Linked DNA regions of Cricetulus griseus. The protein of the gene in region 3 binds, or shares a complex with, the protein of the main gene of each other region. Links are inferred from orthologs where the notes say so. Each region holds a gene or a part of one and is shown on either strand. Other genes may lie near its edges. The genes, in order: Ahi1, Tmem17, Tmem237, Tmem231, Cc2d2a, Tmem67 and Tmem216.

Region 1 (4,534 bases), about 140 Mb from region 3:
TAGTTTTAAACCCAACTCTTAGAATTAGTTTCCCATGGCTACCTGTGTGACATCAGACATTCATGCATCTGTTTATTTGTAAACTTTGCCTGTAAACAGTGCTTACTCATTGTTCTATGGGTAATTCTAATAATTATATGATTTACTATAGTTAAATAAGTACCAATAAATGATAGGTACACTTATAATAGGTAATTCTCATGGGGCACTTAGCTTAGTGTGAGGCATACTGACTGGGCATCGAAGGAGTACTAAGCAACTACAAGAATCAAATTAGTTAACAGACTCCTGGGTTCAAATTCCAGTTTCATCTTCCAAGAGACTAATATCTGTAGACCTCAATTTCCTAATTTGTCAAGGGACTAAGAGTAAATCACTCGTAAGATTTTATAAACAGTAAATAAGAATATACAAGCAAAACACTTGGTACAATATTTGTCACATAGCAAGCTTTCAAATATACAAATATAGCAGTAATAACATTGTTTAATAAAAATAATAGCATAATACTATGTTTAGCAGGCAGTAGAATGTATTAAACCAATAGGTAGAGGCTGCAGATTTGGGCATCACCTATATGTAATGGTTTCGGTAACATAAAATGCCAAAAGGGTTAACTTTGAACCCTGCAAAATAAAAACAATTCAAGGAGACTGGTTTCAAAAAATGAGAAAATGGAGTGTTACACAGAGAAAATAATCTATACTGTATGCTGTCAAAAGATGCTGTAAATTTTGAAGGATGCCTACCTACTATAGATTTATAATCAGGAAGTCACATGTGCCATAGCTTTTTACAGAAAGCTGACAGTCACAGGTTTAAAGAATGTGATATGTGAGAGAGGCATGTAGATAAATTCATTCTAGAATTTTCTTACACCTTGGAAGGATAAAAACATCTGGAAAGGAATTTTTCTTTGTTGTGGGGGAGGGGAAGCTGAGGATGTAGCTCAATGGTAGAATGCTTGCCAGGCATCTGCAAGATCCTGAATTCGATACCAGCTCCACAAGATACTCTGTTCTTCATCAATCCATTGATTTCAAACCCTCAACTTTCGTCCTTGTAAAATGCTATATTCTGTGACATCACCCCAACACACACACACACACACATACACACACACACACACACACACACACACACACACACACACACACAGAGCTAGCCTCTGGAGGGCCAGGTCTGTGCCTCAGTTTAAAATGAAAAAGAAGCAATTAACAATGATTCTAGTACCATCCTGTTATTTACTGATAAATGGCTTTGGATAAGGTATTAATTTCACTAGGCCTTGGTTTTTTTAAAAATTTTTTTTAAAATGTCTAAGATCTTAAAATGGCACCTACTTGTTGAAAGGAGAAAAAAATTGCAAAATAAAATAAAAATAAAATAAATCACACATTGCAGGTACTCAGTAAATTTGCTTTATGCCCATTTAGCAAATAATTAAAAAAGAAAACACACGATTAATTTAATATATTTATATAAATCTAATATTGTTTGATATTTTGAGGCACAACTGAATAAACACTAATTTTTTTAAACACTAATATTTAATGATAACACAGCAAATACAGTACAGAAATAATCATCTTTTAATGTTAAGGTATACTACAGAAAAACAGAATAACTGATATTTAATAACATCACCAAAATTTAAGGTTAGGTTTAATAAAACATCTCCAATTTTGTATATATGATTTTATAGGACAATTTTTTGATTTTCAAAATTATTATACACGATATTAGATATCATTATACCATTATTTTAAGATTTCGTCATCCGAAGAAGCTTTACAGAAGCTCCTATGCGAGACTACGCAGAAAAATTAACCGGATTACATTCCCTCCCTGCTCTGGAAAAACATGGAGTACACGCCTACACATCAAGGCAAGAAAAAAAGCATACGCACTTGATGATTTCCTCCTCTGTAACAAATTTTCAAAGAAAAAAAGCAGCATAATTCAACCAATAAGTCAGTGGTATCCTCATAAATAAATAATATTCTAAATACTGTTAAAATTATTGGCATTTGAATTTGTTTCAAATATCCTTAAAAAAAAATTCCCCATCCACCTCATAACAAACATCTTCTCCTGAAAGCTCATGCAGTCATTTATGCAACAGGTGAAAAGCCTGTTAGCATCTTTTTCTTTAAAAAACGGAGAGGGAACATTTCGGGGGATGTTTTTATAGTGACAATAAAGGCAGAGCAAGCATTTGGTAGATTTTTAAGTAGCCTCCGTTCCGGGGAGGTTTACACAGACTGAAATGATCCTATCGATATAACCTGACTCTTCCATATAGGACCCATCGATCACTCTTCATAGATGTAAGTAATTAAGAGAACAGCACGTCCTTTAGTACCAGGATGACATCTAAAAGGAAATAGACTCGGTACGCATCAACTTGAGGGGCATTTAATTAAGCCCGCACTGCGAGCAGAGAGGAAGAGGCTGCATCCCCTCCATCGGAGCACCATGCTGGGCAGCCTGGACCAGGAGAGCGGGAGAGTAGGCAGAAGTAGCTCGCAGCGGCATCCTCGGCCGCGCGCGGGGCGCAGGCCAAGCTCGACCTGCATGGCGCAGTGCTGCCCCGCGCTCCCGGCCTCCAGCAGCCCCCTCGCCGCCCCCGAGAGGCCGGCCGGCAGGGCCGAGCGCCCGCACCCCGGCTCCCGACACAGCGCGCCCGCAGGGTACTCACAGAGAGGAGCGCGCAGCGCGGCCTGTCCCGCCCGAGCGACAGCCCGGCAGTGCGAAGCGGCTCCCCGCGCCCAGCTAGGCGGCCCGACGGAGACTCCGGCACGGCAGCCTCAACCGCTGGCGACGCGCGCTTTGAAGAGGGGCCCTGGTGCCGCAGTGCGGGCTGCGCGCCGCCCGCTGACGTCAGGCTCGCCTCTGCTGCCGTTGCCTAGGTAACTGGGTCCGGAGGCCCAAGCTCCGGGCTGGACCTAGGCCCCGCCCCCTCCCCGGCGGCAGCCGAGCGCTGTCGGCTGCTCGTGCCTGCGGGCTCTTGAGAGTCCGGCGTGCGCGCGCTCTGACGCGGGCGCGCGCGGGAGCCCGAGGTTCCGCCCGTGGAGCCGGAAGTGGGTCAGGAGTGCTCGTTCTCTCCGAGGGCAATATGCCATCGCCTCGGGAGAAGCGTCATGCCTCAGGACTGGAAGCGCTGTGGGGAGAAGCAGAGGTGGAAGCTGACGGGCCCGCGCCCAGCGTAGAAAACATACAAGAATGAATAGGAATGAATGAATGGGTGAATGAATGCAGTGCAGTCCAGGAAGACTTGTCACCCCCTACATCGTGCGCCCACAAAATGAATCGTGCTTTTAAGCGTGAATGAGGATCCCCACGAGATTGCAATCCCGCTGGCGCTGTTGACTGTGGTGAAAACAAGAATTAAGAACGTCACGTTTTCCAACGCCCCCCTCCCCCTTTGCTCGATTCTTCTTGAGGCGCCATCTTTGGCTGTGAGTCACAGCAGGAGTGGAAAAATACTAGGTGCAGCATTCGCTCCACTAGAATTAGAGGCCATTTTCTGCAGCTGTCCTCCCACACAACCTGTTGTGTCCTTTGTGTGGTGACAGTAGTGCGTGCTTTTGTTTGGTGGCCAGCTTTTCCATTCTCACTGGTATTATCATACCTAACAAAACATCTCATTTGGTTCTCAAAGTGCAATGAGGAGACCAGGGGAAAAATCACTAATCTAAAGCCTGCCTAACGTTGAGTTGCTGGGTTTTCCACTGAAAAATCTCAATTTTCCCCTTCTGAGTATCTTGATTTAAGCTATCACCATCTCTTCAGTGTTTTAGCAAGAAACCCTTAGGTGGTTTCTTAATTTTTTTCCCCCAAACCTATATTTTCAGTGTCCTCACTGTATATAGCTTATCCATCATTACCATTGCCTAAGGCAAGCTGCCAGTATATCTTATGGGGAACTGGCCTCATTACCTGTGTCCTGACTCCAGTTTTGACTAATTTTCTTTCACTCCACTATCAGGCTAACCTTACTAATGTGAAGCTACTAATGCTACCATCCTCTTTTTCTTTTTTGTTTGTTGATTTACTTATTTTTATTTATTTTTGGTTTTTCGAGACAGTGCTTCTCTGTGTAGCTTTGGAGCCTATCCTGGCACTTGCTCTGGACACCAGGCTGGCCTCGAACTCACAGATATCCGCCTACCTCTGCCTCCAGAGTGCTGGGATTAAAGGCGTGCGCCACCAACGCCCGGCTTTATTTATTTTATTTTATTTATTTATTTATTTATTTTGTTTTTCAAGACAGGATTTCTCTGTGTAGCCCTGACTCACCACCCTCTTTTAAACATTACTTCAAAGGAGAATATCTAATCACTGCCACAGATTCAGATGTTCCACCTCGCTGGGTTTTCTCTCTCATTACCTCCTTTTTCCAATTTTACACAATTTAAAAATTATGTACATCATGAAATTAACAAAATCGAATTACATGTTACACATAATTTTATGTAATATTGAACTATGTATGCCATGCTAAGCAATTTACACCCTTTCTGACCCTGGA
Region 2 (4,681 bases), on a different chromosome or scaffold from region 3:
TGTAATTATACTCTTGACATGCTTTTCATTTTTAGAATTAGATTTATTCATTTTCTGTGTATTTAGCCTACATTTTTGTTTGTAGACTACATGTGTGCTTGGTGCCCATGGAGGTCAGCTACTGCTAATCCCACTGATCGAGAAGACCACTACTACAGTTTAAAACCAAATTTAAAGCAAGCTTTAATTACATACTGGCCAGGTCCATCTCTGGGTTTCCAGAAAATGGCCCTGAGTCACAGTTAGCAGTGGCCTAAATATTTCCCATCAGGTCCAATCAGGAGCAAGCATACATCATCTAGACGTATTTCCTGCCTGTGAACCTCCCACCAACATGTGATCAAGCACATCTGGTGTAGATGGGTCAAACAAATTTGTTTGGGGGAGTGAAAAACTTGTGGCTTGTTGTCTCCCATAAACAGTGGCCTCTAGCATTTCAGGAACTATTTGTCCTTGGGCAAGGGGATTGCTGATCAATGGCATTTTGTTTCATGGATCTCTACGGCATAATAATTAAAACTTAAAATGTAACTTTGGCTCTCACAGTATCTGATAGAGTCACAGGTGGTTGTGAAACACCATGCAGGTAATGGGAATCAAACCTGGGTCCTCTGCAAGAACTACAAGTGCTGGTAACAGCTTCAACAACTCCAGTTCCACCACACTTTACCAGAAAGATTAAAGGATGGAATATAAGTGTTGGTAAAACACACAGAGTGGCAGGGATGTTCATATGTAGCTGGAGGTTAGACAATTTGGAAAGGTGATGGCAGAACCTAACAAAACTGGTTTTACATACTGTTTGACTCAGCCTCTCCACTCCTGGGTACACATTCAGCATATACCTGTGGGTATGTTTACCCGCTGGCACTTTCACCAAGAGTGGTGCCAGCCATACCTGCTCCCAACTACAAAATACACAGGTTCATATCCACAGCTTGTTGATAAGCTTGTTGGTATGATCATAAATAGGAAGAAAACCAATAAAAATGTTGATGGCAGAGTCAGGTTTTTTCTTAAACTTTTTCTATGCAATTAGTCTACTATAAAGTATTAAGTAGGCCAGCTGTTCCATCAGCCACTGAAAGAGGTAGCTATAAGGCTGACTGACTCGGGTCCTAATGCAACTGGATTGTGCTTTTCTGTAATGTCTATTACACTTAAGGGTTTGTTTTGGTTTGGTTTTTGAGGTTTTACAATGTAGCCCAGGCTGAGATCAAAATGGGGATCCTCCTTAGAGCTAAAAATGATACATTGTAAGTGAAAGCAAGAAAAGGCTGATTTTTTTTTTTTGAAAGTTTTAAAATAACCCATGATCCAGAAACAACTGTTCTGTACTTTGAGTTACTTCCTTCCCTTCTGAAGCAGGTGCACTTGGTCTAACCTAGTCTTACCCCAGATTGTATATACCCTTAGAAAAGAATCTCTGGGAGGGGCATTCTTTAAGATCTGTGCTCGTTCTTCATTTCCCTCTAGAGAAGAAGCACCAATTTTGCAAACAAAGTGGCATGGTGTGAGGACTCCTTGTGGCTCAGCCCAGGCTGGAATGGCTTGTTACATGTGAACATTTTAAGACCCGCGGCTTAAAAGGCAGGACTAAGGAACCCGCCATTTGCATTACCACGAGGCTACGTTCAGCTGCAGGCCCAGCTGCCTCTGCTCGCCCCTCCAAAGGGAAGCCTCCGGAAGATTCTGGACCGTGCAGGGCAACCCGGGCACCCACTCCCTAGCGGCTGGCACAGCCCCGTTGCCCGGGGAACTGCAGCACGCCGCTGCGCTGGCTGATTAGCGGGTGTGTGCGGGGCGAGGCCGGGCAGGCCAGGCATGGAGCTGCCGGACCCTGTTCGTCAGCGCCTGGGCAACTTCAGCCTCACGGTGTTCGGCGACTCCAGCCGCACCGGGCCGGAGTCCAGCGAGGCGGCGGGTGAGTGGCGAGGGCGCAGGCCCGCGCGGGGGTGTGGCTCGCGGGCGGACGCACGGGCCGTGCCCGGGTGAAAAATGGCGGCCTCGGCTTCCGCCATGGCGCATCCCCCGTGCGGGAGGCTGCCTGCGGGCCTGCGACCCACCCGGGCGCTCGCGAGCCTCAACCGCGGGGGCGCTGTCGCCGAGAGAATTGGAATACAGAGCAGGAACGCCTGCTTCCCGACACGGGCCCCCGCTGCGTTCCTCCGTGACGCCCGCCGGGCCTTCCAGGCCAGGCTGAGGGGAGAGCGTCCGCTCCCACCCCGACAATAGCTTTGTTGTGTCAAACCCCTCCTGGCAGGATAGGCTCGTTCCTCCCAGCCAGCCTCCCAGCCGGGTACAGGGAAGAAAAGGGGGTTGCTTTTTCATTGAATGAGCCTTTTAAACCACTGTCCACACGACTGGCGGCTGCCAAACTAACGTGGCCTTCCTCGGCCTGCGCCTTCTTCCCGGCTCCATCCAACACTGGGGTCAACACCGTCGAGTTGACCACAGTGTCAGCCTCCTCGATCTTGACTACAGCATACGTTTTCACCAATGAACTCAAGGAAGGAGAAATCCTTTCTCCAGATTGGTTTTGGCTACTGTTTAAAAGGGAAAATTGAAAAGCAAAGCCACTTCCCATCGACCTGAAAAATTAGATTTCCATGCTTCTAAGAGCCTTAACTTGCACTGAGGTCTCTGGGGTCAGAGTGCAGTTACTGGAGAAATTATTTGTTCTGCAGCTCTGTAGGCTGCAGAGCCTCAGCCTTAGGTAGTGTTAATTGTTTGGATGCCAACATCGCTAAAGACCAGAAACTGGAAATTCATATGGTTTTCATATATCATATAGTATTTTTCCCAACCATTCAAATTCGAGAAAAGCTGTTTAATTCACTGTCTCTGCCAAGACAGGTAATTAATTGGTTAGTGAAATTTGCCTGTCCAATATATAATGCTTTAATTTTATCTCATTACAGAATTCAACTTGAACTTTTGTAAAATTTAATGAATTTGCATCTTGTGCCTCATTTATATTTTGGCCTGATTTTTTCAATTGCCTAAGTTTGATGTGTTGAAGTATGGATGTGACACTACAGAAAATAAAATAAAAGCCCTGGCATGCTAAGCAGTCACTCTACCAAACTATATCCCCATAGGTTTTTAAACAACAACGACGAAATTGTTGTTGTTGTTGTTGTTGTTGTTGTTGTTACAGTGCAATCAAGAAGTGCCTGAGCTGTCCTGAAACTAACTTGCTGTGTAGCCCAGACTGGCTTTGAATGTGAAATACTCCCTGCCTCAGTTTCTTTGCAAACATTTAGCTAGTTTCTGCTCTAAAGGCTCTGAAAGTGTCAGCTTAACCAATATATAATTATTTTCCTGTCTTTTTAGTGAGTTTAATATTAGGCTGTAAAAATTTTTATCACCTCACCTCACATCCACCTCACCTCACATCCACCTCACCTCACATCTACAATCATCTCACTTCCACAACACCTCAGCTCCACAACACCTCTCCTCCACAATCTTCAGAATTAAAAGATTTTAAAATTTTATTCCTATATTAGGGATAATTTAAGAAATTAAGGCAAGTAAAAGCAGACCACAATAGTCAGGCATTCCCTTAAAACTTAAAGGAAACTTGTGGAATAGAATATTTGTTTAACTCTGTGAAGATGTGTTGCATTTGTTTTACCTTGCCTGCCTAACACACCTGATTGAGCTAATAAAAAGCTGAATGGCCAATAGCTAGGCATTAAAGGGATATGTGGGGCTGGAGAGCAGAAAGAATACTTAGGAGGAGGGATCTAGGCTCAAGAGAGAAGAAAAAGAAAACGAGGGAGAAACAAAAGGAGACACTAGGGGCCAACCAGTCAGGCAGACAGGGAGGAAGCAGGAAAGTAGGACATATAGAAAGAAAGGTAAAAATCACTGAGACAAAACATAGATGAAGAGAAACAGGTTAAAATAAGTTACAGGCTCTAGTGGGACAAGCCTAAAGTAAGGCCAAGCATTCATAACTAATAACAAATCTCTGTGTCATGATTTGGGGGCTGGTGGTTCAAGAAAGCCTGCTACAGAAACTTTTGCTTCTAGAGGCCATGCTTGTCTCAAAAAGCATTAGATGTCAATTAAAAAAAAAAAAAAAAACTATGCAGATAAAAAGGAAAAAAGTTACAAAGTAATTTATGTTAGTATCTTTCTAAATTATTACATTTAGAGAAACCGATTTAAAATAAGAATGTAGTTAAGTTTATAATGTGTTTTCTAGGGCTCAATTTTAAAATCAAATTCTTGTTGTGGGACCTTTTCCCTTATACAAAAGCAAAGATATTGGGTAATCAATCTGATAAATGGAATTTGTGTGTCACAAATGGCTATATGTATGTCATTATGCGTTTGAAATTTGTTCTTTCTGCTTATGCATGCATAGTATTCACAGTGTGTAAAGCAAAATTCCGAATAGGAAATGTAAGTGTAAATCTGTGCTTACACTGAGACTGTGTGTATACAAATAAGAAAATGAAAGGCTCTGTTTGTTGAGTATGCCTTAAGTATGATGGGCACACTGGTAAGAGTGAAATAACCTTACAGGCAGGCAGCCTTTGAGTGGTGTTATCATTCCAGAGACGATTAAATGAATGCTCAGAAAGATGTAATATTATATCCCAACTCTGGCACCTGATTCTCTTGGCTTCTGTCTTAGAGTTTCTACTGCTGTGAAGAGACACCATGA
Region 3 (4,019 bases):
TTGGGAGGACAGTACAGGACTAATCCAGCCCCCTGATCATGGATGCCAATGGGGAGGCCCCTGCACTCCTGGGAGCCTCTGGAGGTGGACTGGCGTTTTGCCCTGGTGGGTGGGAGGGACTTCGAGAGCCCATCCCACTTGAAGGGATTCGCTCTGTCTCTGAACACATGGGGAGGGGCCTAGGCCCAGCACAGGAAGATTTGGTGGACTTGGTGGAGCCCTGGTTGGGGGCCCTACCCTGCCTGGGGAGTGGTGGGTGGATGGGGTGGGGGGTAGGTTGGAGGTGGGGGAGAAGGAATGGGGGTGGGGGGAAGGAGAGGGAGAGGGAAAGTACATGTGAAAATATTAATAATTTAATAAAAAAAAGAAAAATAAATAAAATCTTAAAAGCAAAGAACAAAAAAAAGGAACCTGCAAGATGGCTACAGAGGTAAAGATGCTGCCTCGAATCAAGCCTGATGTCCTAAGCTTGGTCCCCTGATGCACATAAAGGTAGGACAGACCTGATTCCACAAAGGTGTCCTCTGACCTCACACACATGTCATTCATATACACCACACAAGCACACATGCTTAAAAAATTAAAAGCGGTGAAACTAACATTGAATTTCTGCTGTTGTCTTTTTTAATCTAAAGTTTCTCCTTGATTATAAGTTTTTTTCTTTTCTTTTCTTTCATTTCTGGCTGCTTAGACATACAATTTTTTCATCTTTAAAAAAAATGCAGTGCCAATAAGCTTTCTTCACAACCCAAAGCTGATGTTAAAATAAATAATTTTAGGTGTCAATGGTATTTAGTGAAATACAACTTTCAACTCAGAATTAAATTTAAAAGCCTTGGCATGACGGTCTATAGAAGTAATTTAGTGACTTTAAGAATATTAAAATTAAAATGTTGGGAACTAGAGAGATGGCTCAGTGGTTAAGAGCTCTTACTGCTCTTACAGAGGGCCTGGGTTCAGTTCCCAGGGCTCATGTGGTGGCTCACAACCACCTATAGCTCCAGTTCTAAGGATGAGATACCCTCTTCTGACCTTTGTAGACACAAGACACACATGTGGTACACATAGGCAAAACACTTATACACATAAATAAAAAAACAATAGGTTTCTAACAATAAATAATTTTTAAAAATTAAAATGTTTATACACTATCAAGGCAAGCTATTATTTGAAAACTTTAATTCTTGGGAAAAGATGTTGGAGTGTGCACGCAGCCTTCTGTAGGAGCAGGAAAGATGTGGGATATTGTGGGATATTTCATAAAGTTCTCCTGAGATTCTGAGTGGGACTTCACACTTGCACTGCTTAGGACAGTTCTTTAGATGCAACAATCCAGATCTCAGCAGGCAGGATTCCATCTCAGGAACCCTCACAAAAGCCGTTGCTCAGGTATCTTGAAGGAATGCAAGAATAACTCATTTTCTCAAAAAAAAAAAAAAATTACTGGATAGATAGCCAACAGAACTACTTGTGCCTTTTATGATCAGTTTCTCAAATAAGGAAGTTTTACACTAAAGGAAACCAGAATAAAAATTCTGGGTAACACTGCTAGAAAAAAGAGGGGATGAGGGGATGGCCCAGTTGGTAAAATGCTTGCCTTCCAAACACAAAGATCTGCCTTTGATCCCGAGATCCTACCTGAACTGTTAGGCATGGTGGCCATACTTGGAGTCCCAGCATTCAGAAGCAGAGACAAGACAATTGCTAGGGCTTGCTGGCCAGCTGGGCTAGTCTGGTGGACACTAGCCCAATTAGAGCTCCGGTCTCACAGGAGCTAGAGGGTGCTACTATGGATAACACCTGACTTGGGTGAGCGGAAGCTGAAATTGTAATATATTGTATAGGGGGAAAAACTATTTTCAGTAAAAAATAAAATCCAGCTGGAAAAAATAGTGTAATAACAGTTTTGTGTGTCAATTTTTGCTCATATTTTTATTATTTCCTTCATTCAGGTCATCAGAACAATATTTTTGGTTGTGAGCCTAGCTGACAACCTAGGCTGAGCCTTCTTTCCAGCCCTGGGTCATTGGAACTACAACTACCAGGTAAAAGATATCCTTCTACAATATTTAGAGCAATTGTATTCCAAAAAAAGAATTACTTACGGCTTTTTTCCACAAATACTTTGCTGACAGGCTGGCTAATTCCCGTGGGTGCTGTGAACCTGGAGTGCTGCTCTAGGGTACGCTGCTCATCTGTAATTATGTCTTCATCTTCTACCCCTAACTCATCAGCATACTGTAGCTCTGCTGGCTGCGTTTTCCTGAAATTGGGAAAAGTCTTTGAGAAAAATAGGTCATTCCTGAATTTTTAAAGACCCACATAAGAAGTTACCCATGGACATAATGGAAAGAGTCCTTCCTGAACTTGAAGTATAAAAATATGCTGTTTATTCAGATTTGTTATGGACTAGTACATTCCTCAAAGTGCCCACATTTCTGTGTACCCCAGTTTTCTCAAAATGGTCAAGGACTGGGCTAGATTGCTCCTGACTTAATATCATTAAACTCTAAATGTAACTGATTGCTGTTTGTAGAGTAATTTTTAAGTACAAACATCAATGTTATATAACTTCCAGGGTATTTTTAAAAGTATGCTCTTGTATTTTTATATAAGACTTAACTTCCTATATTAGAGCACAATAGTTATGCTTATCACAAAATAGTTCAAATTCCATTAACATGAAAAACAAATCACAGTAGCTTATCTTTAATGGTTAACCCTTATCTCATCTTTTGAACTTATTTGAAAATATTTTTTTTAGAGATGACTCTTTAGCTATTTCCATACACTATTCTTTTCTTTTTTTAATGTTCTATTCTTTTCAAATCTCTCATATATTGGTTTAACTTATAATTCTATAGTATCACTTATTTCAACACATACAAATACGGTGTTTTCCAAGACCCAGTGAGGAGCTACTCTTTAGGATCTAAAACAGCAGCACTGGCTCCTAGGGACAGCTAGAAGGGTGAGTAAACTATTACTTGGCCTTCCTTCGTGGTTTTGGAATGACTGCCTCTGCCGGTGGCTCCACATTGACACCATTTTCATTGCGTAGGAAAGATGGACTAGATGATGGCTTTTCAGCGAAGGAAGTCTCCAACTCTGAAAATGAGATGCGTCACATGATTACAAGGTGAAAATAAAACAACACGCAGTCAGTCTCCTGACTTTTGTGAGACTGGAGAACTTTAAGACTTTCAGTTGGACCAATTCTTTTCTGCTACAGGCAGAGCTGGTGTTGGAAATGGGGTCTCACTGTGTAGCCCCAGCTGCCCTGGAACTTGCTGTGCAGACCAGGTTAATCGTAAACTCAGAGAGCTGCTGTTAAAGGCATGTCTCAACACTCAGCTAGGATTAGATTTCTTAAATTTTTTCCATATTGGTTGACATTAAAACTTGGAATTACAGTGTAGAAGTATAAAATTTTCTAAATAAAAAAATTGGGCGGGTGTAGTGGTGCATGCTTTTAATCCTAGCACTCAGAAAGCAGAGACAGGCCAATCTCTGTGAATTTGAGACCAGCCTGGACTACATAGGAAACTGCAGGCTGCCCAGGTTTAGACAGTGAGACCCTGTCTGAAACAAAACACTAATTCCCACATTTGGAGTATCCCCAGATTTGGCAACTTGCTGTCAGGACTCAAGGGACTCAGAAGTTATTACACTCACAAAGTGTAATTACAGCAAAGAAGAAAAGCAAAATCAGCAAAAGGAAAAAGCAAACAGACCAGATTCAGGTGACACACGCACAGTACCCCACAGCCCTGAGTCAGTGGAGTCACACTCCAGGCTCAGTGCTCCGAAGTCCTCCATCAGTGGAGTCACACTCCAGCCTCAGTGCCTAACAGTCCTCCATCAGTGAGTCACACTCCAGTCACAGTGCCCAACAGTCCTCCATCTGTGGAGTCACACTCCAGCCTCAGTGCCCCACAGTCCTCCATCAGTGGAGTCATACTCCAGTCACAGTGCCCAACAGTCCTCCGTCAGTGGAGTCATACTCCAGTCACAGTGCC
Region 4 (4,492 bases), on a different chromosome or scaffold from region 3:
TAAAAGGAGGCAGAAGGATCACCAGTTCATGGCCAACCACAAAGCCCTGGGAGTGTTGCTTCGTGGGCAGAACACTTGCATAGCCATTTTGAGATCCTGGGTTGGCTCACCAGAACCACAGTAAGTAAGTAATAAAAACAGGCATGGTGGGCCCATGACTGCAATCTCAGCTGGGGGCAGGCACAGGAGCTCAAAGTCTTTAGGGTCATCCTCAGCTCCAAGCTACCCTGGGCTACATGCCACACAATCTCAAAATAACAAAGGGGGTATGTGTTTGTGTTGTGGGGGAAGAGAACTGGTCATTTAAAGAATAAAAGAGATCAGTGGTGTTATAAAAACCACATGATTTCCACAGCAAAACCTTTTACCTGTTACTTGATGAGTGTGTGTAGAAATGCTTTCCTAGGTGTTTGATAACATTTGTTTGGGTGTATCTCCATTTCTGTCTGGAGTATTCTCTACTGACACTCCATGAACAAAGCTGGAGCCTGAGTTCCCCTCTTCCTACCAACCCTCATCACATACATCCCTCTCTCAACCCTTCAATTGAGCTAGATTCATATTTCGGTCAGTCAGTATTCATTGTTGTAATCAGGACTTCGCCAGTCCTGTTCACAATGCCGACCGAATTTCCTGCTTTGCATTTTCTTGTGTTTTATTTCCCTGAAGTTAACAATTATTTTATTTGCTTGCTTCGTTTTCTTTGTGTGCATAAAATTTCAACGACATCTTCCATTGACATTTAAAGGTGTATGGTTTAAGTCTGGACAAGCGGTCATGCCTATAGCCCGCTTCTTAGAAGACTGAAGGGGGCTTATTGCTTCAGCCAGCTTGGGCAGGCAAGATAACAATAATCCATCTTGAAAAGAATGAAAAAGGCATAAGGCTTAGTCAAAAATTTGTTATTTAGATATTAATTCTAAGTTCTTTAATCCCAGCACTCAGAAGGCAGAGACAGGCAGATCTCTGTGAATTCGAGGCCAGCCTAGTCTAAGTGAGTTCCAGGACAGCCTCCAAAGCTCCAGAGAAACACTGTCTCAAAAAATAAAAAAATAAAAAAAGTCTAATAGTGAAAAAAATTAAATTGAGGCAAATTATTTAAAAAAAAAAAAAGGGTGGACAGTGAAATAGCTCAGCAGGTAAAGACCCTTGCAGCCAACCCTGAAAATCTGAGCTGGATTCCTGAGATGGTGGAAGGAGAAAACTGACTCCTCCGAGTTGTACTCTGACTTCACCTGCCAGGGCCATGGTTTTGTGAGACAGAATGAGCTTGTGCTTGCTGTGACAAAATACTTACCAACAAATAACTGGTTAAACTTATCATTCTGCCCATGTCATTAAATAATCTAAAGACTTTAAAAATAATAAGGTTGGTTAACAAGTACTGATACCTTTACTTTTCTGTCATCATGTATAAACCTGTACCTTTTTAATCTCACAATGAGTCTACAGGTTAGTGATCAGAGGGAACACACACACACACACACACACACACACACACACACACACACACACATTAAAGAGCAAAGTAATCTGGTTATATTTTGTGTATTGCTATTCACATGACCAACAAGACTTTAATATTTTAAAGCTCTTATTTAGCTGTTGGTGGAAAAGTCCGATTTTTTTCCCCCATCAGCTACACAAGTTTCCTTATAAGGCTAATAACCAGCCATATCTGAAAGGATTCACGTTTGAAAGGAAACTATTTTCAGAATACGAACGGAAAGGGATGCCTGTAAGGGAGCATTTGATTTACGTGAAAGTAAACACTAAACTGCAGGCAGTAAAATGCTTCAGCTTCATGGAGGACAGCTGCAAAGTGGAGCAGAGTGCGGTGAGCCTAACCCTGACAGGCATGGCTTGGCCAAAGCAGGAGCCGAAAACGCAACCAATCAGCGCTTGTCCCCGCCCCTATCCCCGCGTCCAGTCTGCATAAATCCGCTGGCACTTTCTGCCCTTACAGAAGTGGTGATGCTCAAACTCGGCTTTCAATTCCCTAAAGGGGCTTTCACTGCCTCCTTTCCATTCAGAAGTGACCACCACCAGAAACAGGCTGTGCTCTGGCATCTGGACTCTTGTTAGACAAACACCAACTACATGGCTGACTTTCTGGAGATATCTAGAAAGTTAAACATGCGCAGGCCAAAGACTGTGTTTCCAACCCCTGTAGCTCCTTGAGATCCAAGCAGTGAGGCTGGGAGTGTGGCTCAATGATAAAGTGCTCGCAGCGAAGCGCACAGCCCTGAAATCCCAACACTGGGAAGGTGGAGGCCGGAAAACCAGATGTTGAAGGCGGTCTTTGACTATATAGTTTAAGATCAGCTTGCGAGACTTGAGACCTCCCCCTTACTCCCCCCCCCCCGCCCCAATCCAACCTGGGATCCCTGGAACTCGCCCCCATCTTGTTCCCCAGAACCCCGGCGGGAACCACGCACCGACACGAGCGGGACTCGCAGGTGAACCCCCTGCAGCCGGTTGAAGGTGGGGAACGTGCTCCAGGCGAGGAAGGCTCCGGGCTCGGGCCCCAGTAGGGCCACGAGTAGCACCTGGTGCTGGAAGCGCACGCTAGGCTGCTCCTCGTAGCTGCTCCGCTTCAGCCAAAACCCTGCGGGAGACAAGGCGGGTTGGGGAGCCAGGTCAGGAAAGCCGGCCTGGGCCAGCGGGCCGCACCGAGCCATGTGGCTCTTCAAGCCCGGGCAGGCTCACCGTGGCTTCTGAAGGCCACTAGCAGAGGGGGGATGTAGGTGAGCACGGTGGCCAGCAGCAGGAAGAGCGCGGCCTTGGAGCAGAGCCCCGCGCGGTAGCCGCGCTCGGCCGGATGGGAGAAGAGCTGGTACAACGCCATGAGCGCAGGCCGCAGCGCCGAGTCTCCACGGCAACCCACAGCGGCCAGAGGAACCAATAACAAGTAAGCAGTCCTTTAGGAGGGGTGGGGCTAGCGGAAGGCTGTGCAGGATTAGATAGTAGATGCATTTTATGCGGTGCCTGAGGTCCCTTCAAGAAAACAACAAGAAAGAGCCCAGTACTTAGTTTGTTTTTGTTTTTCGAGACAGGGTTTCTCTGTGTAGCTTTGGAGCCTATCCTGGCACTCGCTCTGGAGACCAGGCTGGCCTCGAACTCACAAAGCTCTGCCTGCCTCTTGCTCCCGAGTGCTGGGATTAAAGGCCTGGGACACGACTGCCTGGCTGTATTCTCCAACGTTAGCATTTGCTGATCTATTATGTGAGTACTTACTACTACTATTATTTCAACATGGGAGAAAGTTGGTCTTTTGTTGTTGTTTTCAGTTTGTTTGTTTGTTTTTTTTGAGACAGGATTTCTCTGTGTAACCCTGGCTCTCCTGGAACCCTCTCTGTAGAGCAGGCTGGCTTCAAATTTGCAGAGATCCACCTGCCTCTGCCTCCCAAGTGCTAGGATTAAGGGTGTATGCCACCCTAACCCCCATCCCCCAACCCCTTAAAAAGATCTTAAAATCTTTTTAAGATTTTATTTATTTATTATGTATACAACATTTTGCTTCCATGTATATCTGCACACCAGAAGAGGGCACCAGATCTCATAATGGATGGTTGTGAGCCACCATGTGGTTGCTGGGAATTGAACTCATGACCTCTGGAAGAGCAGTCAGTGCTCTTAACCTCTGAGCCATCTCTCTAGCCCCTTGTTTATCCATTTTGAAATAGGGTTTTACTATGTAGCTTGGGCTGGCCTTCACTTCTCCTTCCTCCAGGTCTGATGCAGGAGCAATCAGGGCTCTTAACCATTGGGTCATCTCTCCAGCCCCCATCCCCCGGCTCCAAACATACATCTTAATTCTGGAAAGGCTGTCCTCTGACCTTCACATGCATGTCATGGTGCTTATCTGCATATGTAAATAAGTAAATAAATATAGTAAAACATGTAATAAGGAGCTGGAGAGAATGGCTGCTCTTTCACAGGATCCTTAAGTCCAGTCACAGGGGACCCAACAACCTCTCTGGGCACTGTATACACATGATACATACACATGCATACAGTCAAAACACCCATATGCATAAGATGAAAATAAAGGGACCAAGTGCTGGTGGCTCATGCTTTTAATCCCAGCACTCGGGAGGCAGAAGCAGGCAGAGCTCTGTGAGTTCAAGGTCAGCCTGGTCTACTGAGTGAGTTCCAGGACAGCCTCCAAAGCTACAGAGAAACCCTGTCTTGAAAAACCAATAATAAATAAATAAATAAATAGATAAATAAATACTGCACTAAAACAAGTGTTGTGCCCAAGTCTCAAAGATCCCCAAAGACCACCAGGGAGACAGACCCACTGAACTGTAAAAGCAAGGTTTTATTATTTATCCAACCATGAAAAGGACCCTGTCTGACTAGCTGATGCAACAGCCTCAAGAGGAAGCGAAGTTCCCTATCTACTGCTAGTTTTTTGGTTTTTTGTTTTTGTTTTTTCATCTTTAGAGAGTTCTCAGTTCCATGCTGCAAAACTGGAGCCTTTTCTTTA
Region 5 (4,804 bases), on a different chromosome or scaffold from region 3:
GGTGTCTCCGGTCCCCAGGCACCAACCACACTCTTTGCTAAACAACGTAACCATCACTATTTGTATATTAGTTCGTTATTGTGAAAATACTTACAGTGCAAAGCCACAAATACTATAGCAGTAAGGAAGGGCATAGGCATCACTAGTAATCTATTTTACACAGTACAGAAAACCAACACATTTTAAAAGGGCAGTTCCCACACTGTATCTGACCATGGGACTCTCTAAACTCAGCTCATCAGAGTCATCTCAAGGATCCCCATGATGACCTTACAGGATGCAGAGAAGAACTGAGAGAAAGAGGCACTTCTCAATCATAACTGCTCCAAAAGGATGGTGTATTATACAGAGAAATTACAGTTTTTCAAATGTGAGGGCTTTATGGAAAAAAAAAGTATAGTCAAGGGTTCAAATTTTCCTCCTTTCAGCAGCTGTGTGATCTTGGAGCAACTCTGCTGATTTTGTAAAGGCACAATCATACTTCCTGTCTCAAGGGGAGAAGGTTTATTATGGGCTCCATACTACAAAGATTGTAATAAAATGTCACCTGGTAGGCTTTAGGGTTTTATTATTAAGAATGTTGCCAGAGTTAGGGTCTGAACCTGAGCCTTGGCAACCCTAATAACATAGGCTTGGCCACCAGTCCCCCAGTAGGCCAGCTAAAGAGACAAATAATGAAAAAATCAGAGAAAGGGGACTTATTCAATATAGTGACATTAGGAAGTAGAACAAAGGAGTTCATTGACCCCCAAAGTCTAGGGTCCTAACATGAAATTAGGTTGGACTAGAAGGTACCAGGAAATATACATAACTAAGCAGTCTTAGTCAAGGTGTGGTCCTGTCCATCACTTCCAGTATCTTCTTTCTGCAAGGTGACTGACAAGCTGTCAGACTGTCTTTCTTGGAGGTAAGTTCTCCCTCCAGCTGGTACCAAAACCCAGACCTTTTCCTTCTCCCAGCATGAGACACTGCGGCAATCCAATTCTTAGAGTCTATAGTTTTAATAGTCTGATAGCTGAAGGGAGAGACACAAGTGTCTCTTTCAATCAGTGGTTCTTAACCTTTCTATTGCTGCAACCCTTTAATACAGTTCCTCATGTTGTGGTGACTCCCAACCATGAAATTATTTTCATTGCTACTTCATAACTGTAATTTAGTTAGTAATCAATCATGATGTAAATATTTGTGTTTTTCAGTGGTTTTCGGTGACCCATTTGACCCTCAAAGAGGGTTGTGACTTACTGGTTGAGAATCGATACTTTTGAGTGTCTTGTTTAACCAGGATGGTCACAAGCAGAGGTCTTGGTTGGTAGGGAAAGAGAGAAAGGGATAGAGAGGGAGGAAAGACCTTGGGGACACAGGAGAATCGTAAGAAAAGCCTTAGGGTGTTTAAGCCCCATTACTCTTATTCTCTTTCATTTTTATCTTCAAACAGTGGCAGTAGCCATAATCAAGTCTGCTTGCTCCTTCCTGCAGCCAGGCCCAGGCCACCTGCTTTTTTTTGTCTATTTTAAGTGTTTCTGGAAGCGCCGGTCTTCCTACCCATGCTCATTTTCTCTCTTCAGAAACAAGAGGCTTTTCCCACCCCTCCCTTTCAAGCTGGGGAATCTCAGGAACTGTCATATGCCTTCTTTTATGATTAATTATGTAACAAATTTTTCTAGCCACAGCTTCTTGAGTACAGGTTAGAGACATAGCTGTGTGTGGTCATTCGATCAGATGGTTATGACACTATTTGCTGCAGCGTGCAGTTCAGTATACAGGGTGTGCTCTGCAGGATTGGCCTAAGCCGTGGAATGGGAGTGCTGGAAGTTCCTCCCTGGACTCAGTCCTCCTGTTCATCAGGCTCTAGACCTTTTTACAAATCTCTTTTGGCATTAGCTCATGGGTGTTTTCATTATCTGTTCATGCATCTGCTTCCCCAGCAAACTCCCAGCATTGACCTGATCTAAGTTATTTTTGTACAATGTAAAGTTGAATTCATCATCTGCTGCATTATTGATGCTCAATAAAAACTCAAATGAATGACTCTGTAAATGAACTCTAGGGCTGTAAATGAACTCTAGGCCAAATATCTATATCTAGATCGATTTACGTATATCTATCTATATGAATATATACATCACACACACATTTCCTCTATCCATATACAGTCCTCCCTTCTCTCTATATATCATACTGGCATTACACTTATTTGCAGAAACATTTGTAGAAAATGCAATTGTAGACACGTATTTCCCATTAGACTTTATTAGATTTTCATAGCACATCTTTGCAAAGAAGAAAGCAGTCAGTTTAACTGACAGCCTGTAGATTTTTCTTAGAGTATGGCAGATTCAGAGCTCTTTGTCCAATACCAAGAAAAGTGAAGTTTGCAGCACTGACTCCACCCACGCCCTTGGAACATTCTAAACCAAGGCCTGAAAGCAACATGCAATGCCAGTGGTTAGCAGCACACTGGCCAGAGGACGGCGCTAGGGGTTCTCGGTTAACTGGCTGGCGTTTCCCCTGCAAACCAGACACACCAGACAGCAGCTGAAATAAAAGCTGTTCCTGCAGCACCCCTACTTTCCGTTCAGAGAGCAAAACTGCAAGCGAAACAAAAGGAGGAATCCCTAAAATTATAATGCATTTAGTCCACTCTCATGGCTCCCAGGGAGGGGCTGACCTCCAAGACTTCCGGAACTGAAAGGAGATGAAAGCAGGACACTGACGTTGCAGCCCCGGTTCCAGTAAAAACTAATTTACCTTAATCCACTCTGCAAAACTCAGCTTGCAGATTCCACTTTCTGGAATTGGACGCATGTGATGAGAGACCAGTTGGGTCAAGCCAGGCAATCTTTTAGAAATGAGTGAAGGAGTGTGCTGGGGGGTAAGGGAGGCTGCTCCCTGTGAAGCTGCAGCCACATCTCAGGACAAAAACACCAGCTTAGCAACCGGTTCCCAAGGAGGGTCACTAGGCAGCTTTTTTTTCTTTTAAAGTGACAGTTTACTTTTAAGTCTTGGAATATGCACTTGTTGGGTGAGCAGAGGAAAAATAACCTGCTGAAGAGAGACAAAGGAAAAACCACTGAGAAGCTGGCCAGTGAGGATGCAGGCTGTCAGGGGGGTGCTCTGTATCATGCCACCGGGTTGCATGGCACTCAGGTAAAGGACAGAGGGTGTTCGAAAGCAGAGTGATTTAGAATCATGGTGGTCCATGCTGCATGGAACAGCAGTGATGCCTCTATGGAGGGGTGCCAGGGCTCCAGGATGTTTGCAGGCTGTGTATGGAAGCCTGAATGTAGGACAGCCTAACCTCTGCTGGTTCTCACTACACATGGCCCATTAGGGATACAAATGTAATGGCAAAAAAAAAAAAAAAAAAAAAAAAAAAGCAAAGGATGTGGGAGAAAAGGCAAAAGTAGGCAGAAGAGTAATGAGCAGACAGAGGGCCTCCACAGAGCAAGGACAGGCAGAGAGCAAAGCCTCTTAACCTCAGGTGTTGTTCCTCAGAAACCTCCCATATTGGCTCTTAAACCAGGTCTCTCATTGGAAGCTGGCATTTGGTGATTAGCCTAGGCTGTCTGGCCAACAAGCTCCAGACATCTACATGTATTAGCTTCCCTGGCACGGACAAAATAAACATGGGCTATCATACAGAACTTCAGTCACCTTCAAAGACGTCCTTTTATCAATGGAACTATCTCTCAGCCCTAGTTTTCTTTGTTCCTGAAGCTCTCCCATTCATCACTTTTGACCTTAGACAGACAGATCTCCGAAGCTAACCAATTCCTAGAGACAGCAAAAGTTTCCTTGGAAATGTATATATTCTCCTTTGATACAAGACAACTGACCCCAAGCTGGCACCTCCTACTACATCTTTATTAAACTCATCCACCAAGCCAAGTCCCCTGCTCTAAGTCATCACTCTGGAGCCATGTGGTTGGGAGCACCTCTACCATCCAGAACACAATGAAGTAATTCCAGTTATCCCATTGTAAACCCACCTGCAAACTCACCCTGCCTCAGTCCTACTTCCAGGGGAAAATCTCAGTAAAGGGGCTCTTCTTGAAACTCGAGCTCATTGATTGGCTAGACTGCTGGCCAACGGGCTTCAGCGATCACCTGTCTTTGCCTCCCCAGTATTGAGATTATAGATGCCTGCAGCCACTTGGCTTTTTATGTGGGTGCTGGGGACCTGAATGAAGGCATTCATCCAGGGCAAGCATTTACCCACCCAAGAAACAAATTTATATCCATTACGATATGCTGCTATAAGATGTTTCTTGCTCTGAGGGGTCTGTGTGACAGCCATGTCTATGTCTGCATGACTCACAGTACCAGTGAATGCAGTGTTCACTTTTAAACACATGTGTTTGCAGTGCACATATGAGTAGGCATGTTTGTGTGGTGTATGTGATGTGGAGCAGGTAGATATGAGACTGAGGAAATGGAATACCCACCCCCAATGTTATATTGATATCTTCACTCCTAATCCCATAGAGTCTGACATTATTTAGAGGTAGGGTCCTTATGGAGTGTGCTGGCTAGTTTTATCTCAACATGACACAAGCTCGAGTCTTCAGAGTGGAGGAAACCTTAATTAAGAAAATGCCTCTCTATAAGATCAGGCTGTAGGCAAGCATGTAGGGTATTTGCTTAATGAGTGATTGATGGGGAGAGCCCAGACCTTTGTGGGTGACGCTGTTCCTAGGCTGGTGGTCCTGGGTTCTATAAGAGAGCAGGCTGAGCTAGTCATGAAGAGCAAGGAAAAGGCAACACTCCTCCATGGCCTCTGCAACTGCTCCTGCCTCCAGGTTCC
Region 6 (4,019 bases), about 290 Mb from region 3:
GAAGAAGAGGAGCTGTCCTTCTTCCTCTCTCCTATGGAACCTTGCTCAAATGGCTCCCTTCCTCTAGGTTCTGTGCATTTTCTGACTCCATTATGAGTAAGGTGAGCTTTGAAGCCTCGTGAACACAGTAGATGCCCCGATTGTCTTTTCCATCCCTCAGACTGAGAGAGAAGCAGAGTGCTGTTGAAACACATCTCTCTCCTTTACAGAAGCAGTCGGTTTAAACCTAGTTCTCATCCCTGGGGCATTACTGATCAAATGATAAAATCCAAGTACAGGATGGTAACTGTCCTCAAGAATTATTTTCTCGGTGGGTGAAGCAGATACTGCACTTCCAACAGCAAGTGTGGTGAGGGATGTGAACAGCTGGCAGCTGTGTGGATGAGGACATGTTGAGGGGTGGACACCACAGAAAGATGAGGAGGAAAGAGTAATAATAGCTTCTACAATTCCAGCACTTCATCAGAGTTGGATTTTACTCTTCATTAACAAAGAAACAAAATCCACAATGGAAGGTATTTTGTCCCATTGTGAACACATTGCCAGATTTTAAAGGAAAAGTTAAACATTGAATATCATTTTATCAAATTAGTTGCAATTTGTGATTGCTCAGGCATATTTGCAACTTCTTTGAAAAAAAAAACAACTTAAGGTATAAGTTTAAATGGAATATTATAAATGAAGGCACATTTCCCAAGTAAAATTTTCACTAAAAGTCATGAATGCATCTGGAATTTGAAAGACTCACAAGCTTTTTAGCAGGCCTTTGAAATTGAGTAAGCTGTCTTTTGAAACGTACCTTCATAGCAAATGCACACCCCACGTAAGTAACGAAACGTTCTTCTTGAACTGGCATTGGCAGCAAAACAGAGACAGATTTCTGTGCCTAAAAGACATGGTGTATAAAGGAAGCAGAAGTGTGGCAAATATTGACAACCTCAGTAAATGACACACCAAAGGGTGGGGAGCTCAGCAGCTGCCCAGAACTTGAACAGAAATGTCCCTAAAAGTGTTCTGTTATTAAAGTAGCTTGCCAGTTATTCAGATATATGCATTTAGTTTAAATTCAGAAACTTACTCACTTTGAAGAAAATAAGCCAATAGAGACCGGTTCCCACTGTGATGATAAAAAACACATTGGCCAGGTCGCCAGCATAGTACACCAAGAATTTCATAACTGTCTACAATTTAAAAAGAATTACAATTGTTAAAGATTCCATTTATTACCTGCCTATTACATTTATTTCTGCTGAAAAATTGAGCAGAAAATATGTTCTACTTCACTTTCATCATATATAAAATGGGAATAATAAAAGTACTATTTTATTTAAGAACTTAAAGTATAAAATACTTTCTTCTTACTGGGTGTGAGCATGATCTGTATGCATGAGTGTTAACTATCATGGAATGCATTAGAAGTCAGAGGACAATTTTCTGGAATTGGTTCTCTCCTTCTACCTTTATGTGGGTTCCAGAAATAGAACCCATATCTGACAGCTTTTGTGGCAAGTGCCCTTACTTCACTGAGCTGTCTTATTGGCCCATGAGTACTACTACTTCTTACTTATTTATTTTTATTATTGTAGAATTGTGCCCATCTGAGTGCAGGTGCCTGATGTCAGAAGAGGGTGTCAGATTCCCAGCAAGTGGAGTTGCTGGTGGTTGTGAGCTGCCCAAGGTGGATGCTGGGAATTGAGTCTGGGTCCTCTGCAGGAGCAGTACACACTTAATCACCGGGCCTCTCTAATATTATTAATATATTGGCCATTTACATCCATACACTAACAGTTACAAAGACCCACTGAGTTTGACTGTTGTATTTCTCTTTCACTTTAAGAGAAAGTGGAAACTACTTGCAAATTTCCTTAGTTGGGAATCACTACCCAAATCTATCTTATATATTTTCATAGTTATTATTATATTATTATGTATTATACAAAAGGATTGAAGCTTGCTCATGCTGGACCCTAGAGTTAGCTTTCTTAGATGTAAATTAGATTAAGTCACTTTTTTCTTAAAAATATACAATGACTACTCACTAAATTCTTTACCAACAAGATCCTTCACAGTATCAACCAGAGTCAACTTTCTCCTTTGCTCACATGCTAGTTTCCACTCACAGTTCCATCTTGAATACTTCATGGAAAGCAACTGTCATCCTTTTGTCAAATGTCCTTCCCTTTCTCTATCATGAGCTCTGAGGGCAGGATCTGTTGTAGCTGTTTCTGTCATGTTCCCCAGTACCTGGCAGTCTACAACAGACCCTGGGTGACCACTGTGGAATAAACAGTTTAAAGTTTACTTCCATGAAAGTCCTTCTTTGGCTGTCCCAAAGAGGAGCAGAAGCCCTTTGCTCTCACTCCTTATCACACTGGCTAAACAAATTACTACAGAACCATTCTCATGTGCTTGATTTGCAAAACAGAAATAACACTGTTGCTGAATTATTGCAAAAATTAAGCAGAAAATCTAAGCTCTGTTTCATTTTTATTATATATAAAATGGGAATAATAATAATGCCCAACTACATAAGGCTATGTGAAGATTAAGTAAACCATACATATAATGCTTAAGAATGTGCCTGTGCATAGTAAATATTCAATAAATGTTAGGCAAAAGTTTTTATTAATTTCAAAATAAATGAGAAGTAAACTATAAAGTTAATGGAGTAAAATCTTTTTTTGGTATTGAGTGGGCAAGTTTTCCTGAACAAAAAGAACATAATATATATAACACATACAAAATTCATGTGACAGTGTAGACATGAACTAGATGTTAAGTACTAATTATATATTGAATGTTAAAGGCATGGATATTAGGTAGCTCATAAACTTGCACAAAAGATTTCAACATAAACAACCAGAAGGAAATTAATATTTTGAAAAGACAGCTCCTTCATATAAATAAGAAAAAGAAGGAACCTAGTAGAAAAATGACCAAGAGATCTAAATAGTTCACAAAAAAGGAGCCTAAACATTTACAAAGTATATAAAAGGTCAGAGAAATGGCTTAGCGGTTAAGAACACTTTCTGTTCTTCCAGATGTTCGATTCCCAGCATCCAATGGCATCTCACAACCATCTCTGACTCCACTTCCAGGAGATCTGGTGCCTCTTCTGGCCTCTGTGGGCACAGGCAAGTATGTAATGCACAGGCATACATGCAAGCAAAAACACTATATACATAAATGTATGAATAATAAAACAAAATAAAGAAAATAAAATCAACAATGACATCTTAACACATGCCACTTTATTTATGTACAAATATGTTAATGTTGAAAAATATCAAGCATTAGCAAAGACAAAAATAAAAATGGAGGTGGGAATGTAGAGACCTTGGGATCCTGGAAAGAAAGTGAAGTTGCATATGTTCTATGACCTCAAAATACCTTTCCTAACTTATACTCCAGAAAAATCAAAGGCAGCTCGCTTACTCATCTTCTACCTGTATCTTCTGGAAAAGATCTAGAATAGTTAAAACATAAAAACATTCATTTCAAAACCGACTGTACCTGTAAATCAATCATGGGGCTCCCAATGCGCCTCTTCCACCCTGCCGTCTTCAAAAGAGATGACAACACAGCCAGCCCACCCAACACGCCCAATGCAATCTAGAAAAGAAAACAAACATTTTAGAACTTGCATAATTCCTCTCATTGCTCCTAAAACCCATGGTAAATAGAATGTGAAGTTACTCAAAAATTGATGGCAAGTGGTTGAAAAGACATGGGAGACAAGCTGTAAGAAATTCCAGTGACTAACTTTGGAAAATTGTACAAGAAAATGAATAGTAATGGATTATAAAAAATCACTTAAAATCAATGAGATTATATTGACTTAAGTAAATAACTGAATAAATATTAATGAGGGTAAAAGGAAAGTTCTGGCTTATAATAAAGTTCCAATCCTTCAATTCTAAAGAAATGAAGGAAATAAAAAAACATCTGGCAAATACCACAGTGATATTATCCTACAGGCGAGCATCACCAGTGGGCACCAGTATTAGAGGGCAGCAGCG
Region 7 (3,287 bases), on a different chromosome or scaffold from region 3:
GTAACTCCAACTCAAGGGGATCCAATGTTGTCTTCTGGCCTTTGTGAACACGTATAAATATACAAGTAAGAATTAAATGGAAAAATAGAAGAGGGCATCAGATCCTCTGGAACTGGAGTTACAGACTATTGAGCTGCCATGTGAGTGCTGGGAATTGAACCTAGGTCCTCAGGAAGATTAGCAATGGCTTTTAACCACTGAGCCATCTCTCTCTCCAGTCCCAAGTAGCAGATTATTAATGCATTTTCTTTTTTCTTTTCTTTTTTTTTTTTTTTTTGGTTTTTCGAGACAGGGTTTCTCTGTGGCTTTGGGGGTTGTCCTGGAACTAGCTCTTGTAGACCAGGCTGGTCTCGAACTCACAGAGATCCACCTGCCTCTGCCTCCCGAGTGCTGGGATTAAAGGCATGTGCCACCACTGCCCGGCTTAATGCATTTTCTATATTTTATTTTTCATTAGTTGAAAAGTATATATATATATGAGATATATACATCATAGATTTTATATATACAATTTTATAAGTTGTTGTTGGATACAAATGCATACATGTTATACACACACACACTTTGGTTTTGATATTTTGAAGCAAAGAGACCAGGATAATCTTGAACTTTCAATTCTGACACCTTAGCCTGGCTGCCCTAGATTCTCAATGTAGACCAGGCTGGCCTCAAAGTCAAGAGACCCACCTGTCTTTGCCTCCCATTTTTTTTTTTTTTTCCTTGATGCAGAATCCCATTGCTCCCTGAGTAGAGTCAGAATGGAAGCAGAGCCTCTGGAGTAAATGACATCAATTATGTAACACCCTGAAGCTTCAAATTTTTAGTTCAGTTGGACTTCACTTTTAAGTATGACATTCCCACTAAGGGTAGTTTTTCTCTGCTCTGCCCATCTGTCACATCCAGATACTTTCTGTGGTGAGTAAAAACAGGCTGATGCCAGAAAAAGCAATCACCATTTGGAGGTGACTCTGGGGGTTGTGTTTTTTAGGTACAAAGGGAAACCTCTGCCAGCGAAAGATGCCTCTTAGCATTAGTGTGGCCTTGACCTTCCCATCTGCCATGATGGCTTCCTATTACCTCCTGCTGCAGACCTATGTACTCCGTCTAGAAGCTATCATGAACAGCATTTTGCTCTTCTTTTGTGGTTCAGAGCTGCTGCTTGAGATGCTCACGTTGGCGACCTTCTCCAGGTATTACTGCTGAAGGCTGGGTCCCCCACCCAGGGATGGATGCATTGGTATTTGAAGGCCTGAAAGGTGTAGAAAACTGGATTTGAGGGGGTGTCTATGGAGATGCTTTTCTTTCAGTAGGTAGGAAGGTTGAGTGTGTGTGGTCTACATATATATGTTCACTTGTGTGCGTGTATACACAAATATTCGGGTAGATGGTTGTGTGTATGGGTGCATACGCATGTGTGCCATGCAGACCAGGGGTTGATATCAGGTATCTTCATCAATCACTTTCCACCTTATATATTGGAGAGTCTTCCACTTGAACCCAAAGCTCTCCAAATTGGCTAGTCCAGCTACCCAACATACCCCAGGAATCCCATCTCTCCTTTCATGGGTGATGGTCTTCATGCTTGGGTGGCAAGTACTTTTACCCACTGAACCATCTCCTCAGTCCCAAAAGTTTCTTTTTTAAGGAAGATAGTCTTCTGGTTCTTTTAGAGTTAAGAGCTTCAAATATGCAGAGTTAAAGCTAACAGCTGTTACTTAATGGTCTTTTTTAAAAAGTAATTTAAAATTTTTTATGTACATTCATGTTTTCCTGCATGTATGTCTGCATGAGGAATTCAGATCCACTACAACTTGAGTTACAATTTTGAGCTGCCATGTGGGTGCTTGGAGTTGAACCTGGGTCTTCTGGAAGAGCAGCCAATGCTCTTTTTTTTTTTTAAAACATTTATTTATTTATTATGTACAGTGTTCTGCCTGCATGTATGTCTGCAGGCCAGAAGAGGGCACCAGATTTCACTGGTGGTTGTGAGCCACCATGTGGGTTGCTGGGAATTGAACTCAGGACCTTTGGAAGAACAGGCAGTGCTCTTAACCATTGAGCTATTTCTCCAGCCCCACAGCCAATGCTCTTAATTGCTGAGCCATCTCTCCAGCCCCACTCACTGGTCTTTTAACAGTTTCTTTTTTTCTGCCTTTAGTATGGACAGGATCTGAAGTATAAGAATTCCAGCTGGTATAGCCCATCAGGATGACAGCCCACATCCTCTGGTACGTCAGCCACACTTGTGAAAAGTGGTAGGTCAAGTTGGCCTGGGAAAGGTTGTGTGGTTTTTCCTTAGCACAGACATCTGGGCATTGAGCACCTACCTGAGGTCAGTGGCGTCATCTTAAACCAGGATCATCAGCAGGAGACACGGACATTTTATGGTAGGGAGAGGCAAAGCTGTTGACATCTTGGGCTTCCTAACAGCTTCCTACTGACCTCAAGTTCTCTTCCTTGGTCATCATGGCCAGAGCTCCTTGTGTGGATTATATGGCTTGTTGGGCTTCCAGTAGGACGGAAGCCACAGCACTCTGTACATGTACCACATCTGTCCTGCATGAGCATGAAGAGCCTCATGATGGTGGCCTCCTAGGCTGATTCAAATACCCCCACCCCCCATGCTCAGAGATGGAGATCCAGAACCCTTTTAGTAGTTCATAGTATTTTTCTATTCTGATCATGAAGCAAACAGTTTTATAATAAACATTATTTTCTGATGTGGGGCTGGTTATGTTTTGTGTCTGGCACCTGTCTTTAAGTTTCATCTCTTCTAAGTGAGGGCATAGACTATCCCAACAGTGTGTTCTAAGGCTGTGTTTAGTGGTAAACTGTGACATAAAGATAGTGATAGAAGTCTCTCTCTGATCCTTACTCCTCATGCCCAAGTTGCAGCCTGAATGCCAAAAGGCACTGCCATCTTGTCTGTCTGCTTCAGGTCTGTCATTGGCAAAAGACTTTGTATATGTTCATCTCTGCCCCAAGTCTGCTTGTCTCAGTTCTTTCCAGCATAGGCCATGTGTAATAAGAAACTGAGAGAAGTATATTCTAAAACTGACCAAAATCTTTTTCCTTGAGTTAGCTTAAAAGGAACATGTATTTCTCTGAGTATTGCCATGTTATTTTATTCCAAGAAGCTACGAGGAGTTGTGAAAGTCCATTTTAGGACTCTTTATGTGCATCAGTGTGAAGGTATCAGATCCCCTGGAAATGGAGTTACAGACAGCTGAGTTGTAAGTTGCCATGCGGGTGCTGGGAATTGAACCCCGGTCTTCTGGAAGAACAGC

Evidence for each region.
Region 1: Tmem237 (region 3) and Ahi1 share a complex: the UniProt entries of both Homo sapiens proteins name them as parts of the tectonic-like complex. The link is inferred for Cricetulus griseus from reciprocal best matches to the Homo sapiens genes TMEM237 and AHI1.
Region 2: Tmem237 (region 3) and Tmem17 share a complex: the UniProt entries of both Homo sapiens proteins name them as parts of the tectonic-like complex. The link is inferred for Cricetulus griseus from reciprocal best matches to the Homo sapiens genes TMEM237 and TMEM17.
Region 4: Tmem237 (region 3) and Tmem231 share a complex: the UniProt entries of both Homo sapiens proteins name them as parts of the tectonic-like complex. The link is inferred for Cricetulus griseus from reciprocal best matches to the Homo sapiens genes TMEM237 and TMEM231.
Region 5: Tmem237 (region 3) and Cc2d2a share a complex: the UniProt entries of both Homo sapiens proteins name them as parts of the tectonic-like complex. The link is inferred for Cricetulus griseus from reciprocal best matches to the Homo sapiens genes TMEM237 and CC2D2A.
Region 6: Tmem237 (region 3) and Tmem67 share a complex: the UniProt entries of both Homo sapiens proteins name them as parts of the tectonic-like complex. The link is inferred for Cricetulus griseus from reciprocal best matches to the Homo sapiens genes TMEM237 and TMEM67.
Region 7: Tmem237 (region 3) and Tmem216 share a complex: the UniProt entries of both Homo sapiens proteins name them as parts of the tectonic-like complex. The link is inferred for Cricetulus griseus from reciprocal best matches to the Homo sapiens genes TMEM237 and TMEM216.

The regions. Positions count from the first base shown.
Region 1 is NC_048595.1:268,869,311-268,873,844, forward strand, and holds the start of Ahi1 (jouberin), read right to left. Parts: upstream 2,877-4,534; 5' UTR 2,702-2,876; intron 1-2,701. UniProt on the Homo sapiens protein: Involved in vesicle trafficking and required for ciliogenesis, formation of primary non-motile cilium, and recruitment of RAB8A to the basal body of primary cilium.
Region 2 is NW_023276807.1:84,237,619-84,242,299, reverse strand, and holds the start of Tmem17 (transmembrane protein 17), read left to right. Parts: upstream 1-1,577; 5' UTR 1,578-1,824; coding exon 1,825-1,924; intron 1,925-4,681. UniProt on the Homo sapiens protein: Transmembrane component of the tectonic-like complex, a complex localized at the transition zone of primary cilia and acting as a barrier that prevents diffusion of transmembrane proteins between the cilia and plasma membranes.
Region 3 is NC_048595.1:413,374,860-413,378,878, forward strand, and holds part of Tmem237 (transmembrane protein 237), read right to left. Parts: intron 3,109-4,019; coding exon 2,988-3,108; intron 2,264-2,987; coding exon 2,106-2,263; intron 1-2,105. UniProt on the Homo sapiens protein: Component of the transition zone in primary cilia. Required for ciliogenesis.
Region 4 is NC_048596.1:188,336,503-188,340,994, forward strand, and holds the start of Tmem231 (transmembrane protein 231), read right to left. Parts: upstream 2,893-4,492; 5' UTR 2,849-2,892; coding exon 2,710-2,848; intron 2,609-2,709; coding exon 2,439-2,608; intron 1-2,438. UniProt on the Homo sapiens protein: Transmembrane component of the tectonic-like complex, a complex localized at the transition zone of primary cilia and acting as a barrier that prevents diffusion of transmembrane proteins between the cilia and plasma membranes.
Region 5 is NW_023276807.1:112,267,876-112,272,679, reverse strand, and holds the start of Cc2d2a (coiled-coil and C2 domain-containing protein 2A), read right to left. Parts: upstream 2,887-4,804; 5' UTR 2,749-2,886; intron 1-2,748. UniProt on the Homo sapiens protein: Component of the tectonic-like complex, a complex localized at the transition zone of primary cilia and acting as a barrier that prevents diffusion of transmembrane proteins between the cilia and plasma membranes.
Region 6 is NC_048595.1:126,316,043-126,320,061, forward strand, and holds part of Tmem67 (meckelin), read right to left. Parts: intron 3,613-4,019; coding exon 3,514-3,612; intron 1,182-3,513; coding exon 1,083-1,181; intron 887-1,082; coding exon 800-886; intron 1-799. UniProt on the Homo sapiens protein: Required for ciliary structure and function. Part of the tectonic-like complex which is required for tissue-specific ciliogenesis and may regulate ciliary membrane composition.
Region 7 is NC_048596.1:49,912,734-49,916,020, forward strand, and holds the end of Tmem216 (transmembrane protein 216), read left to right. Parts: intron 1-988; coding exon 989-1,190; intron 1,191-2,158; coding exon 2,159-2,174; 3' UTR 2,175-2,721; downstream 2,722-3,287. UniProt on the Homo sapiens protein: Part of the tectonic-like complex which is required for tissue-specific ciliogenesis and may regulate ciliary membrane composition.